Notamacropus eugenii: one gene and its partner. The protein of the gene in region 2 purifies or fractionates together with the protein of the main gene of each other region. This does not show direct contact. Links are inferred from orthologs where the notes say so. Each region holds a gene or a part of one and is shown on either strand. Other genes may lie near its edges.

Region 1 (7,897 bases), about 1.4 Mb from region 2:
ATACAACATTGATGCTGCATAATTAGTATGATGATCCCAGGTTGAATGAAAGCTCCTTAGGGCAGGAGTCACATCCTGCCCTATATCCTCCCACATATATAAAATATATATATTTTAAATCCTCCATACCCTCTAAAATAGTGCTTTGTATCTTAGTAGATGGTGGTGCAGTAGATAGTGCTGGGCCCGGAATCAGAAAGACTTACATTCAATTCCAGCCTCAGACACTTACTAGCTACTTACCTACTTTCATGTTACCAACAAAAGTGGACAAGCTTCTCTTCACAGAAGTGAAAGACAATGGATGTGGAACATTGCACTTAGTTGATGTGTTGTTAAACTAGTTTTTAAAAAAATTGTCTGTTCTATGGGATGGCTATCTGAGTAGGAGGATATGAGAGGGGAGGAAAATATGTGGGAAAGGTGGTGTAAAAATAAAAGATTCAAATAAAATAGTTTTTAACATGTGGCTAAACTCATAGAGTTAAGTAAGCAGTAAAACAAAATCAACAGGAAGTTCTTAAATGCAGTGCTTGGACCTATATAGGTGATGCCATTCCACAGCTTACATATCCTAAGGGCAAGGAGTACAAAAGAACAAATACGTGTTCAAATCCTGGCTTCCAACCCATGTGACTTTGACCAAGTCACTTTCCCTCTCCTGGACTCAGCTTTGTCATCTATAAAATGATGGGTTTGGATTAGATGGCACTAGCATCCCTTTCAACTCTAAATCTCTGATCCTAAGAACTAATGACCAGAACTAGAGGAAGGTGCAGAGCACAATGGGTGAATCCCCTATGGTAGATTTATGAGAGGACATAGCTAAGAACCTCACAGGATAAGCAGCCCGGAAAGATTAAGATCTGCTTATGGGAGAGAGCATCCATATCAATGATATTACAAATCCATACAATTATCAGAACACAAGAATAGTTCTAGAAAGAAATGGCATGTTGAGTTGGTAAGTTGAATAAAATGTTTTCCCACAGTGGAAAGTACAGTTGATTATGAAAACTCTGACAATTTCATAATAGCATATTAATTTTTAAAACATTCTTTGAAGAAAATTCTAATATTACAAAGTAGAAATACAACACTCAGCTAACTACTGAGACTTTTCCAAAAAAATGTTTTCTTACGCAAGAAATGGGGGCAAGCTAGGCACACAGAGAACAGAGTGCCACACTTGGAGTCAGAAAGCCTTATCTTCCTGAGTTCAAATCTGGACTCAAGACAATTACAAGCTATGTGACTCTGGACAAGTCACTTCAGCTGCTGGCCTCAGTTTTCTCATCTGTAAAATGAGCTGGAGAAGAAAATGGCAAACTGCCCCAGTATTCCTGCCAAGAAAACCCCAAATGGGGTCATGGAGAATTGGACACGACAGAAACAACCAAACAAAGGGAAAAATCCACAAGACATATGATAGAATTTCAGATTTGGAAAAGACCTCAGAGGCCATTTAGTCTCTAAACCAGAGGTGTCAAAACACTTGACCTGCCACTGCCACAGTCCTGCATGTGGTCCTAACCTATTAACATGTAACTGGGAAATATTTAACAAAATAAAAAGTTAATACGAGATTTTCCTAGGCATCCTTATGTACAATTTAATGGCCCCCTTTTCTATTTGAGTTTGATGCTACTGCTCTAGACCTATCTAGTTTTAGACCCCCTACCATCACAGATGAGGAAATTGAGGCACTGGTGGTGGTTAAGGGATCTGCCCAAAGTCACATATGTTGTTATCTATCAGAGCTGTGATTTAAACCCAGGCTCTCTGACTTCATCCAAAGCCAGTGTTCTTCTCACTGTACCAGTTACTGAAATGTAGTTTTTAGACTTCAATCAATTTAGAAACTTTTTCATTCTCAAAACTTTTCAATACATGACTAAGAATCACTCATGAACAGTCTTCTCTGAAATAAGTATGGAATTCATTTAGAAAGGAAGCTTATTTATTATCATCATTTGGAATATCAGGCTCTATGATCTGTGACCATTAAACAAACTGCCTGTCACAATGTGGAATATGAAGAAAAATACATTTTCTTCAAAAAGAATCACCAATAAAAGTTTTTTTAAGACCAATACATGAGGGTTAGAAAGTTTTCCAGAGAACAAAAGTAACTTTTTTAAATTTTTTCATTGCTTTGTGGTTCAGGCTGAAAAATATTATTTATCTGTAACCTTTAAAAGAAAGAGGGAGAGACACGAGCTTCACTTGGAGGACGATCACAATGACGTCAGTCACTTTTAATTCCTGGGTGGTCTGCCCCTCGGAGGAGTCTCAGAGACGCCAGATACCCTGTTTTCACCCCAGGGGGCTCGCTGTTCAGTCCCTACACAAACCACCGAGGTTCTTCGGTGCTCGCAGCCAAGGCTGGGAAGGGCAGACCTGGGGCCCCGTCCCCAGCGGCCCGGGAGCCCCATCCCACACCGCCACCACGGGCGCACTTACTTGTCTGGGACGCAGGGTGTTCCTGGCTTCTCTGAAATGGGTACCTGAACAGTAACTTATTGCCCCTGCTCCCTGAACTGACCAGGATCACACTGATGGGGCTGGTGTTGTCCCCCATCCTGGACCGAGCTGGGGGCGTTTGGAGGAGGGACCGGAAGGTGCGCTCTGGGCTGGACCAGAACCAGGCCTCCTTGGGGCTAGGAATTCGGGGGAGGGAGGGGTGGAGCTTGAGGGCGATGGAAGGGGGAGGTCGGGGGTTCGGTGTGAGCTGGGGTGGGGCCCGGGGCTTGGAGGGTAGAAGAGCGGAGGCTTGGAGCAGGCCGACGCAGGAGGCCTGGGAGCGCGGGGCTTCGGGCACAGGGGCTCCTAAGGCGGAGGGGGCGGGAGGGAACGAGGCCGGGCCCGAAGGCTTGAGGGGCACTTGGGGCGCTGAGGAGGGGTCGGTGGAGAGGAGGGACTCAGAGCGGAGGGCGAGTAACGGAGCCTCTCGGGAAAGACGTAATCTTGGGCCCGGGAACCTCGGAGGCCGCAGGAGACGGAAATGTCAACTTGCCCTCACCCGGGGCCCGGGAGTCACGTCCGGAATTGCCTCTCACCTCCAACTAGTCTCGCGAGGCTTCCGTAGGCCTCGAGCGGTTGCCCTAGCAACGCCGCTCCTCCCGCCGGAGGGGGCCGAGTCCCGCGCTTGCGCAGTGGCTCGTCGGCGAGAGTCTGCGCAGGCGACCGGAAGTGACCCTTAAAGCCTGGCTGTGTTTGTGTTTTGGGGGGTCTCCCGCTCCCCTTTTGAGCTGCTCGGCTCCCTAAAAAATGCATCCCTCCACCCCCACCCCAGCAAGGCCACAACCAGCCCCCAGCAGAGACCCCGCGGTGGAGTAGAAAGAGCTCCGCATTGGGATGGGCTTCCGCTCTCTGGGCCCTATTGTCGGCGTCTGGAAGACGAGGGGGGCCGGTCTAGGTAGCGGCCCACGTGGAAGCATTCGATGAGCCGGGTGCTGAGGGCTGGGGGGAAAGACATTGCCTGCCCTCGGGGAGCTCCCAGCGGGGGGTAGCATGCGAACTACCCCACAGATAATAGGCTATAATCAGGATAAATTGGAGATTTCGTCCAGGAAAGGCACCACCATGGGGGGGGGGGGGCAGGAAAAGCTTGCGGAAGGTGGAATGGTTTGCTGGGTCATGAAGGAAGCGGGGGATCGCGTTGGAGGGGCCCCCTGGAAGCCTGCTTCAGTGTGGTCTGTGCAATGGAAAGCCCCCAGCCCCCAGAGCGCTGGACCCTGCGCCCTTGGTCATCACCTGGAGAAGCACCTTCTCTCCGGGCCGGCGGGGTCATTCAAAGGCATTCCTAAGTTTCTCACTGCGATGTGCTGGAGAAAGCGTGCTGGACTTTGAGCCAGAAGACCTGGGTTGAAATGAGGTGTAACCACAAGTAAGTCACCTCACCTGTGAAATGGGAGGGTGAGCCAGGCGACCTCTTAAATGCCTGCCACTTCTAAGTGTGTGTTCTTATTACCCCTTTCCACGACTACCACCTTAACACACGTCCTGTTACCGCAGTGGCCTCCCAATAGATTTCTGGCCATCTGTCCCTGCAGTCTGATACTGGCTTCAAAATCCTTTCAAGGAATTGTATTGCCTAATAAATAAATTCAGATTTCATAGTAGGAAATTCAGGAGCCTTGATAATGTGGCTCTACCTTTCCAGCCTCCTCTCATGAACTTTTTTTTTTTAATAGTTTACAAGTTTTTTGGCAAACAACTAGCCAACTGATATTTTGTGTGCCTTAAAATGCCCTAATAGTGAAATAGTTGGTCTAATGTAAGTGTAGAACCCACACAAGATTGCATGCCATGGGGGGGGGGGGGCGGAGCCAAGATGGCGGAGTAGAAAGACACACATACGCTAGCTCTGAACCCACAGCCCATAAAATATCTGTAAAAAAGAATTCCCAACAAATTCTGGAGCAGCAGAAGCCACAGAGCAACAGAGCAGAGGAGATTTCTGTTCCAGAGAGCCCTGAAAACCTCTTGCAAAAGGTCTGTTGCATCCCGGACCCGGAGCCGAGCCTAGCCTTGCCTTGGCCGTGCGGCACCAAGAAGAGCAGATTCTAGTGGGCTTCAGGAATGGAATCTCCAGCTGCCGCGCAGGTCCCTCCACCCACGGGCCCCAAAGGTTGGTGAGAGGGTCTTCTCAGTTTGCCGAGAGGGGAGTGGGGTCCCCCCCATAACTCAGGCCCTCTCAGGAGGCAGCAGCGGAGGTGGGAGCAGACCGGGGCTCCCCAAGCAGGCAGGAGCCTGGATCCATTGTTGAAGGTCTCTGCATAAACCCCCTGAGGGAACTGAGCCCCGTGAGATGTCCCTGCCCCCACCTGAGCACCTGCACTTAATCTCACATTGAATAGCAGCCCTGCCCCCACCAAAAGCCCTGAAGCTGGGAAGCAGCATTTGAATCTCAGACCCCAAGTGCTGGCTGGGCGGATCTGGAGGCTAAGTGGGTGTGAAGAGAATACTCAGAAGTCAAGTCACTGTCTGGGAAAATGCCCCGAAAAGGGAAAAAAAATAAGACCATAGAAGGTTACTTTCTTGGTGAACAGATAATTCCTCCCTTCCTTTCTGATGAGGAAGAACAATGCTTACCATCAGGGAAAGACACAGAAGTCAAGGCTTCTGTATCCCAGCCCACCCAATGGGCTCAGGCCATGGAAGAGCTCAAAAAGGATTTTGAAAATCAAGTTAGAGAGATGGAGGAAAAACTGGGAAGAGAAATGAGAGAGATGCAAGTAAAGCATGAAAAGCAGGTCCACACCCTGCTAAAAGAGACCAAAAAAAATGCTGAAGAAAATAACACCTTGAAAAATAGGCTAACTCAACTGGCAAAAGAGGTTCAAAAAGCCAATGAGGAGAAGAATGCTTTCAAAAGCAGAATTAGCCAAATGGAAAAGGAGGCTCAAAAGCTCACTGAAGAAAATAGTTCTTTAAAAATTAGAATGGAACAGATGGAGGCCAATGACTTTATGAGAAACCAAGAAATCACAAAACAAAACCAAAAGAATGAAAAAAATGGAAGATAATGTGAAATATCTCATTGGAAAAACAACTGACCTGGAAAATAGATCCAGGAGTGACAATTTAAAAATTATGGGACTACCTGAAAGCCATGATCAAAAAAAGAGCCTAGATGTTATCTTTCATGAAATTATCAAGGAAAACTGCCCTGAGATTTTAGAACCAGAGGGCAAAATAAGTATTCAAGGAATCCACAGAACACCACCTGAAAGAGATCCAAAAAGAGAAACTCCTAGGAATATTGTGGCCAAATTCCAGAGTTCCCAGGTCAAGGAGAAAATATTGCAAGCAGCTAGAAAGAAACAATTCAAGTACTGTGGAAATACAATCAGGATAACACAAGATCTAGCAGCTTCTACATTAAGGGATCGAAGGGCATGGAATAGGATATTCCAGAAGTCAAAGGAACTAGGACTAAAACCAAGAATCACCTACCCAGCAAAACTGAGTATAATACTTCAGGGGAAAAATTGGTCTTTCAATGAAATAGAGGACTTTCAAGCATTCTTGATGAAAAGACCAGAGCTGAAAAGAAAATTTGACTTTCAAACACAAGAATGAAGAGAAGCATGAAAGGATTAACAGTAAAGAGAAGTCATAAGGGACTTACTAAAGTTGAACTATTTACATTCCTACGTGGAAAGACAATATTTGTAACTCTTGAAACTTTTCAGTATCTGGGTAGTGGGTGGGATTACACACACACACATGCACATGCACACGCACACACACATAGAGACAGAGTGCACAGAGTGAATTGAAGAGGATGGGATCATATCTTAAAAAAATGAAATCAAGCAGTGAGAAATATATTGGTAGGAGAAAGGGAGAAATGGAATGGGGCAAATTATCTCTCATAAAAGAGGCAAGCAAAAGACTTTTTAGTGGAGGGAAAAAGAGGGGAGGTGAGAGAAAAACATGAAGTTTACTCTCATCACATTCCACTAAAGGAAGGAATAAAATGCACACTCATTTTGGTATGAAAACCTATCTTACAATACAGGAAAGTGGGGGAGAAGGGGATAAGCAGGGTGGGGGGGATGATGGAAGGGAGAGCATTGGGAGGAGGGAGCAATTTGAGGTCAACACTCATGGGGAGGGACAGGATCAAAAGAGAGAATAGAAGTAATGGGGGACAGGATAGGATGGAGGGAAATATAGTTAGTCTTCTACAACACGACTATTATGGAAGTCATTTGCAAAACTACACAGATATGGCCTATATTGAATTGCTTGCCTTCCAAAGGGAAGGGGTGGGGAGGGAGGGAGGAAGAGAAGTTGGAACTCAAAGTTTTAGGAACAACTGTCGAGTACTGTTCTTGCTACTAGGAAACAAGAAATACAGGTAAAGTGGTATAGAAAGTTATTTGGCCCTACAGGACAAAAGAGAAGTTGGAGACAAGGGCAGAGAGGGATGATAGAAGAGAGGGCAGATTGGTGATAGGGGCAATTAGAATGCTTGGTGTTTTGGGGTGAGGGGAGGGGACAAAAGGGGAGAAAATTTGGAACCCAAAATTTTGTGAAAATGAATGTTAAAAGTTAAATTTAAAATAAATAAATAAATAAAAATTAAAAAAAAAAAGATTTCATGCCATCTCGGGGAGGAAGCAGGGAGAGGGAGAAAATTTAAAACTTATGGAAGTGATTGTTGGAAACTGAAAACAAATTAATTAAATTTTTAAAAAAGAAAGAGTTGGTCTAACTCTTTCAACCATTTTGACAGATCAGTCAGTTGTTTGATCGTTTACTGTTATCTGTAGTACTGGGCAAAACCCCCAAATCATTATACTATTTTGGGGGTTGATTCGGTCTCTAGGTTTCATTAGAAAGAGCTGAGCAAGCCCCCATACATCAACATCAGTAACAAAACAATAAAATTGTTCCAATCTGCCATCTTTCTTAGTCCAGCTTGACAATGATTGTTAACATGATGGTAGGTCAGTAGAAAACAATGAAACAAATAATGATTATTAGGGTAGTTAGAAGGAATATACATAGACAAAGAGTGCAGTATAAGTTGAATATGATGGGATGATATCTAAAAAAATAAAGTTAATGGGTGAGAAAGAGAAATGCATTGGAAGAAGGGGAAAAGGATAGGTAGAATTGGGAAGTTATCTCACATAAAAGATACTGAAAAAAGCTTTTACAGTAGAGGGAAAGATAGGGCAGATTTAGGGGAGCAATTGAACCTTACACTCATTGGAATTGGCTCAAGAGGGAATAACATACACACTCAGCTGGGTATAGAAGTCCATCTTACTCTACAGGAAAGTAGGAGAGGAAAGGGATAAGAGAAAGGGTGGGCACCTGATAGAAGATGGTGGATTGGGGGAGTCAGTAGTCAGAAGCAAAATACTTTTGCTCTAAG
Region 2 (7,979 bases):
GTGATGCAGAATGAGACAAATATTTTTGGACATTGCCAATGTGGAAATCTGTTTTGCTTATCAACATATTTGTTATAAGGATTTCCTGGGGGGAGGGAAGAGAAAATAAATGCTTATTAATTTAAAAATTACATTAAAAAAGGACCTTCCTTCCGCCAAGGTGAGGCAGCCCTACCTAGACACCAGCTTTCCCCTCACCCCCCAAGACCTCCTACTTGCTTTCACTTCAGCTAAAAACTCAAACCAAGACCACAGAGCTAACTAACAGTTACCCCAACAGCCCTCAAACATCGCAGAGCTTTTCGGAAGAAGCATTTAAAGCATGACCCACTTATGATCTCCAAGTGCTTTCAGAGACAAGAGGAAAGGAGGAGGGTTCTTATTCCCACCCTACAGAAGTGGGGTGGGAGTGGGCAGAGTAAGAAGGAGGAGTGGCAAATAGGTTCCAAACATATGTCAGACCAGATCAGGAGTTAGAGAATAGCCTTGTCTTAGCTACTGGTTAAGCATTCAAACTCTCCTCTCCAAGTGGAATGGAGAATGAGTTACGTCTACAACCATGACAGGTCCAAGAATCTTTACCACCTGGTACCTAAAGAAGTCACAGGGTGATTTCTATGCTGCCTTCTCAGAATCCTTATCTAGGCACAAACATTTCAAACATTCCTTTACTTACGGAAGTTCTACCTATAACAGCCATTGTCCCCAATATCATTTACTCTAGTTCTTAGTAAGATCCAGTATCATGTACTTTTCCCTTGGCCCCTCACAGAGTTCAGTTATTGAAGTATGAAGGCCCTTGCTATATGGCATTGTCACAGCTGAAGGACAGATACCAAGAATCATGCCACAGAGAGGAGGTTCCAGAGTAATACTACTTCTATCTATTCTAGACCCATTTGTACCTAGTTTTGAAGAAACAAGTGGGCATGGCCTTTAAACTTCAATGTGCACTTTGCAAGGACAGGGATCATTTCTTCTCCTGTCTTTATAGCTTGGTTATGAAGCTACCTCCATAGACTTGAGAGTTGAGAGTCTCAAAATCTCAAATCGGCCACCGACCAACAGTGCAAATCACTGTTCTCTGGGCCTCAGGAGCCTCATCTGTGAAATGGTGATGATACTATCTTGTAAGATTGCTGTGAGAAAAGCACTTTATAAACTATAAAGTCATACATAAATGTGACTTATCATTATTATCATTATATACCTAAACAAGTAGCTTAGAATCAAACGGAAGTGCATGTAAAAGCCCTTTATAGATGGAAAAGTACTACATAAATTTAAGTTTTATTATTAACAAGGGACATTTAACTAGCACTTTGCAAAGTACTCCACATACATTATAATGCTTGGCCCTGTGAGCCAAGTAGGCCAAGTATTATTATCCCTGTTTTATAGATAAGGAAGAGAAGCTCAGAGAGATTAAGTGACTTACCCATGTACACAGAGTTTCAAAGTGTCAGAGGCAGGATTTGAACATAGGTCTTCCTAATTCCACATCAAGCACTCTATCTACACCACCTCCCTTTTGAGCAGGGTAGAAAAAAACACAACATATTATAGTCTGACGGGAGATACAAGATTTCTAATACATGGAAAAGAGAATTACATCAACAAGTTTCACGAGATTCCTGAGTAGTATAGAATGTAGCACAGGATGGAGAGGTTACTATGAGCTGAGGTGGTCAGGACCTGAGGCTAGGTTTTAAAGGAAAAATTCAACTAAAAATGCAAAAAAGGACTTCGTCAACAAAGTTAGGTAAATTCTTCAACCTATGGTTTCTGCTCATACCTTCCTTCACCCCTCTCTTACCTGTGGGGCCTTCAAGAAGCAGCTCAAATGCTGTCATCTATGAGAAGGATTCCCTGTTTTCTCATTTAGAAGTGATTATTCTCTTTTTATCTCATAGCATTTACATACTTCTTCAGTCCTTCAAAAGTTGCTATGGCAAAATACCCAGACTCTCCAGGTGATGGGCCTCTTTTGCACTAAGCTGAACTTTAGTTAATAAAAGTATATAGTTGGAGCTGTACTCATACTCCTTCTAGTTTGGCAAGGCCCGCCAGAAGCCTTGGTAGGGCCTGCAAGGAAACCAGAGTTGACAGGGCAACCTGGTGTAAATGAAAGGGACCTGGATGGAGGAGTACAGACAGCAGACTTGGAATGCTGGAGAGACGAGGGGCTATGTACCCTTGGGTGCCTCAGCCATCTGTCAAACACTGCCTCCAACATGATCCTTACACCACCTCCGGGGATGACTGGGAAAAGGGCTTGGTAAAAAAGAGACAAGCGGAAGGTTTTTATTACAAGGCACTAGACGCATCTGCGTGTACTTTCATCTCCCTGCTACGATCCCCGAAGGCAGGGGCTCTTCCTGTTCGCGATCCTATCCGATCCTCCCGGCAGACCCACTCAGCAGGGGGCCCGCTCTCACCCGAGAAGGTGCTGACCGAGTCCTTCTTGCGCAGGTCGAAGCACTTCATGTAGCCGTCCTGGGAGCCGCTGAGCAGCATGTAGGCCTCGGTGGGGTGGAAGCACACCTTGTTGACCGTGCGCTTGTGCTCGGTGAACAGCTGGTCCTGCTTGTTGCGCGACGGCTTGCCCAGGTTCCAGGTGACCACCACGCCGTTGGTGGCCGCCGTGGCCAGCAGGTTCTCGTCCATCTGGTGCCACACCACGTCGGCGCAGCTGAAGTTGAGCGAGGGCTTGCGGCCCACGCGCAGGTTCAGCTTCTCCACGAACTGCTCCTCCTCGATGGCGTAGATCTTGAAGATGTTGCGGCCGGCCACCACCACCTGGGCGGCGTCCCGGCACACGCTGATGGCGTTGGCCGGGGCGTCCAGGTGGCAGTACATGGTGCGGCCCGTCAGGGTGTTGCCCCCCAGGGCCGTGGTGACGCGGGCCATCTTCTCCATGCGGGCTCAGCTCCCGACGGGTGCCCCGGCCGTGAGCCCTCCGCCTGGGTCAGGCACGTCCGAGGGTGTCATGGGGAGCGGGGGCCCCGGGGGGCGAAGGGGGAAGCGGCCCGCGAGGCGGCTGCTCTCCGGCCACGAGAGGGGGGGCCCGAGGGCGGGGGCCTGGGCTGAGGGCTGCGATGGAGCGGACCCACAGCGGAGGGGAGGGGAGAGAAGAGGAGGCTGGCGCGGCCCAGCGGGGCCCCCGACCCCTCACTCACCCAACCGGCTCCGCCCGTCCCAGCGCCCCAGCGGAAGTGATGGAGCCCCGGCGAGAGGCCTGGCACCGGAAGTGGTCCCTCCCCAAGGAGTCGCCGTCGCCGCCACCGCGGGCCGGAGATAAGCGTTCCGGCTCGGGGAGACTGGGAGGCGGGGATACCGCGGAGGAAGGGCGGGAGGAGGGGCCCACGGTCCAGGCACAGCCCAGGTGGCGGCCCCAGGTCCGCCCCAGCCGCAGGAGTCCTCGGAAGCCAGTCCGAATGCTTCCCCTTGGACCGCTGTCGACCTGCCACTGCCTGGGCCTCAGTTTCCCCTCCGATCCCTTAGGTCCTTTCCATCTCTGACATCCGGTGTTTCATGTTCTAAGGGTCACTTCCGGCCCTGCCGGGCCCGGCTCCGTGTCCTCAGGCTCTCCGCCTTAAGATCCCTCCGGGCTCCGACGCGGGCCTGGGTCCTCAGAGGGCCCCTCGGGGGTCCGCCTCCCCCCATGCCGGGCTCAAGCCCAGCCGCCCGAGTACACGGTGAAATCCAGAGAAAGGGCTCAGAGGAGAGGACCTGGGCACGAGTCCGCGGGGGACGTGGCACGGTGGGCCCCCGCATGCAGCGTGGGGCCGAGCTGACGTCTGCAGCCCCTCCCCCCACCCTTCCTCCAAGGGGGTCCTAACGCCTGGCCAGAGGAGAAGATGGAGCCGGAGGCCCGGAGCTGGGCCGCCCTGCCTCCTCCCTTAGTCTGCAAGACGGGGTTCTCAGCTGCAGGTCGTCCATCGCTGGGGGGAGCCGCGGGACCCCAGGCTTTGTGTCCAGGCCTTGACCCCTCTCCGCCATGCACCAGTTCCACGATGAACACGCAGCGCTGGCCAAGAAGCCCGCCTATCCAATTCTGTAGGCAGACGGAAGTCAGAAAAAGTATATCTGTGTGTATATAAATTATATACATATGTGTGCGGTGTGTATGTACGTATATGTATGTATGCACATATGTATGCATATATAATGGGTAATACGAGTGAAGGAGCTCTCCCATTGGGAGTAAGATAACAGCTCCATTGAAAAAGAGTACCCTAGATCTCATCTGAGGGAAATTTTCCCTCCTTTAGTCTTTAGTGTAGCAAGCTGGAGATAGAGACATGATAGAGACTGTCAGTTCCTCTCAATGCCAGCTTCTTCCTAGAGTTTTGCTTTTAAAAATCCTTTTTTCCTGCCACCTACCTGAAGTGAGGTTGGTCTCATTCATCTGTCTATCTAAGCTGGAAACCCAAAGATACCTGAAGAGACTTGAAAAGAACAAGCCTCTCCTCTCTTCCTCTCTCACTATCTCTGCCCAGGCCCCTTGCATAAGACTAGATCACTGATCTTCTCCAATGAGGGGAGAGTCACAAACCAATGGACATTGGGTCTTGGGTTTCTCTAGAGTGGCAAGAGTGCTGGATTTGGAATTAGAAGGCTTATATTGGAACCCTAACTCTGATGTCTCTTTGACCATGGGCAAGTCACTTTATATCTCTCATCCTCAGTGTCCTCATGTGTAAGATGAGGGGGCTGAATTAGATGACCTATGAGAGCCCTTCCACTTCTAGATCCTATGATTTTAGAAAGCATGTTGCTTTGTTATGTCACAGTTAGAACACATCTCAAGTAATTTGTCCATTTCTGGATATCACAAATTTGTATCTGGGGCATCAACAAGCTAGAAGAATGTGGCCAGAGGAGAGTGACTAAGATGATGAAGGAATTGGATGCCAGGCTATGTGGAGATGCGTGACTGAAGGAAGCACAGATAGCCTAGAAAATAGAAGACAGAGGAACATAATAATTCTCTTCAAGTATTTAAAAGGCTCTCTCTTAAACTTGCTCCACTTTCCCTAAGAGGATACAACTAGAGAGAATAAGAGGAATTTATGGGAGACATATTTTTAAGTTAAATTTTTTTCTTCAATTCTGAACTGAGCATAAAAAGAGGGTTGTATTGAGTCTCCATTACATACAGGTTGTTTATCTCTTTAAGGGTGTAATAAATTCAACATGTTACTTTCAAAGCTGTCCTACTTGTCTGTGATTCTTTCTAGCTGTCCCGTTCTCTATGCATTTGAAAAACATGTTTCAAAGACCTTTCTTTTGTTCATTTTTTTTTTTTTTGCACAACTCTACCCTTAGATTTAGGTCTTGATTTTTAGTCCAATGGTCTTATCTTTTCTCTCTCCCTAGTCCTGAGTCTGCTTCTTCCTTAGCTCTTTTGTGAACTCCATGGGTAGTTACTGTACTGTAGGGAACCTTCTGTCCATTCTGGTTATTTCCCTAATCATCCATTCCTGGTCATCCTTTGAGAAATTCTGGGGCAGCTCTTTCCCCCAAAGGAAGCTCCTTTCTGTCTCCTGGGCTGTGGATCACAGAGAGGGCAGCATCAATGGCGTGGGTGAAGGATTCCACATGGGAAACCCAACACAGCCCTTAGATGGTAAACTCTTGAGACAACATGGGAGAGTGATGGGCTGACCCTAGATACTTTAGAAAAAGCTGAAGGTCTTAAGAGGCAAAGGAATAGAAATACTGGAATATAAAGGGGAAGGCCTTTGAATGCAAAATCAAATATTGATACCTTAGGAAGGGTCAAAGTCTTAAATAGCTAAATTGTCTGTGAAAAGACCGGCAAAAGAAATTAATGGTCAAGATAGGCAAATGTCACATTTTTATCTTTGCTGTTAGTCACTTCAGAAGAAGTCTGGGAAGTGTAACTGAATTGGGATTGATTGTTGTGAGCCAAGGTGGAATACTGAGTGGCTTTGAATCAGGAACAGGAGAAATTAGAATCTCCTTTCCTACTTCCTTCCTAGAGGTGACCAACCTCATAACTGAGGTTCCAAGGAAGTAAAAAAAATGGAGAATCTTGGTGCACTAAGTGGTACGGTACATAGAGCAATGGCCCTGGAGTCAAGAGTTCAAATCCAGCCTCTGACACTTGATGCTTACTAGCTGTGTGACCCTGGGCAAATCACTTAGCTCCAGTTGCCTCACGAGAAAAAGGAGAATCTTCTGCCACTTCTAGGCTATGGGAAGTTGTCTCAACTGAAAGAGCACAATAGAACTACAGCTAAAAAAGCATCGAACACTCCAGCTGAAGCAAATGCAGTATCATCCAACTGAGCCAGTGACTGAAGGTGGTGATATATTGTAGCTGTCCATCAAAGAGTGATGTCCAGCAGATAAACCCTTCCACCATTCCCAGAAGAGCCTACTCAGGGCCCAATGGTGGGGCAAACTGCCTGGCCCATCCAGCCGACATGCCACACCCTGCAAGAAACTGACGCAGCTGAGCAGTAGAACAATTCATCCATCATTGATGTTAGGTCTCACAGCAAACTCCATGAAAACCTTTAGGTTTTAGAAGAAAAGATGAGGATCTGCAGTTCTGAATTGCCTTGGCTACATGTGTTTTCTCCAGATAGGCCTCACTATCATTTGTCAATCCATGACCACTCTTTCCCCCATGGACTCTGTGAATATTTGTAGGAGAGTATACCCCAGGTTTTTGGAGAAACACTATTCTTGCTGTGCCATTTGAGTAAATTCTTTTGCTAATGAACTGAGTCTATTGGATGATTGTTAGGGAAAATCACACTAGTGGGGACTCCTGAGCTCATGTTTTAAGGATAGTCACCCACAGAATTACTCCTAGAATTCTAGAAGTAGTAATAGCTGCTGCTCTGGGGACCCAACCAGACAGTACCAGCGAATACGGGGGGAGTGACCAGGGATATGCTGTTATATGTTTAGCAACAGATTCTGAAAATGGGATAAGTTTAATCTGCCTTTTTAACATTTCCCCCATTACTTTTGGACCAAATCCATTACCTGTTTCTGTACTGCCTGAGTTAAGAATGACTTTTACATTTTAAAATAAAATTTTATTGTATTTAAAAATCTAAAAACCATTCTAAGTTCAAAGGCCATATAAAAACAAGAAGTGGGCCATATTGGATCCTCAGGCTATAGTTTGCCAATCCCTGGTACAGACAATCAACAAAACAATAGATCAAGTCCAGTTATATAAAGTCTGCTGATTTCTGAGGTGTAGATGCTTACGGGTACTAAAAATTTAACAATTGGCTCTCAGGAGTCAGCATACCCCTGGAGTGAGCCCAGAGTGGGTGTGATAGTGGAAAAAGCAATATATGATGAGTCAGGAAACCTATATTCTAGTCTTGGTTACACTACTACATAACCTTGAGTACGTCATTTAACTAGAATTGTAGAACATTTGGTTAGTCAGTCAGAAGGGGCCTGAAGCTCAAGGGTGACCTATCTTGTACCTGCACAAGAATCCTCTCTGCAACATCCTTGGAAGACCTTGAAGTAATGGGAGATTTGCTTCTATCTCAAAGAACCAATTTCATTTTTGGGCAGCTAATTTCGAGGAAATTTCCCTTATAACTCAGCCTCTGTAACTTATAACCATTCTGTCTGGGGTCAGACAGAGCAAATATGATCCCTCTTCCACAGAAAAGCCCTTCAAAGATTTGAAGACAGCTATGGTAATGCCCCTAAGTCCTTTTTACCCCCTATTATCCTCACTCAGGTCCTTCAGCCAGTCCTCATAATGTGTAATTTCCATTAATGTCTTCACCTTGTCACCTTCTTCTGGAAATACTCCAACTACTCAATGTTCTCCCTAAAATATGGTGCCCAGAACTAGACACAAAACAAATTTGCAGAATGTCAGAGCTTGGAAAATATCTAGTCCAAAAGCCTTATTCTACATATAAGGAAAATGAAGCCCAAAGTGGGGGAGTGAGTTTGTCCAAAAT

Evidence for each region. The genes of interacting proteins can lie anywhere in the genome.
Region 1: the proteins of WDR24 (region 2) and NPRL3 purify together in Homo sapiens (affinity purification with western blotting; 6 studies listed by BioGRID and IntAct, with this or other methods). This does not show direct contact. The link is inferred for Notamacropus eugenii from reciprocal best matches to the Homo sapiens genes WDR24 and NPRL3.

What each region holds. Positions count from the first base shown.
Region 1 is NC_092872.1:55,081,766-55,089,662, reverse strand, and holds the start of NPRL3 (GATOR1 complex protein NPRL3), read right to left. Parts: upstream 3,001-7,897; 5' UTR 2,582-3,000; coding exon 2,464-2,581; intron 1-2,463. UniProt on the Homo sapiens protein: As a component of the GATOR1 complex functions as an inhibitor of the amino acid-sensing branch of the mTORC1 pathway.
Region 2 is NC_092872.1:53,677,574-53,685,552, reverse strand, and holds the start of WDR24 (GATOR2 complex protein WDR24), read right to left. Parts: upstream 3,057-7,979; 5' UTR 2,920-3,056; coding exon 2,439-2,919; intron 1-2,438. UniProt on the Homo sapiens protein: Catalytic component of the GATOR2 complex, a multiprotein complex that acts as an activator of the amino acid-sensing branch of the mTORC1 signaling pathway. The GATOR2 complex indirectly activates mTORC1 through the inhibition of the GATOR1 subcomplex.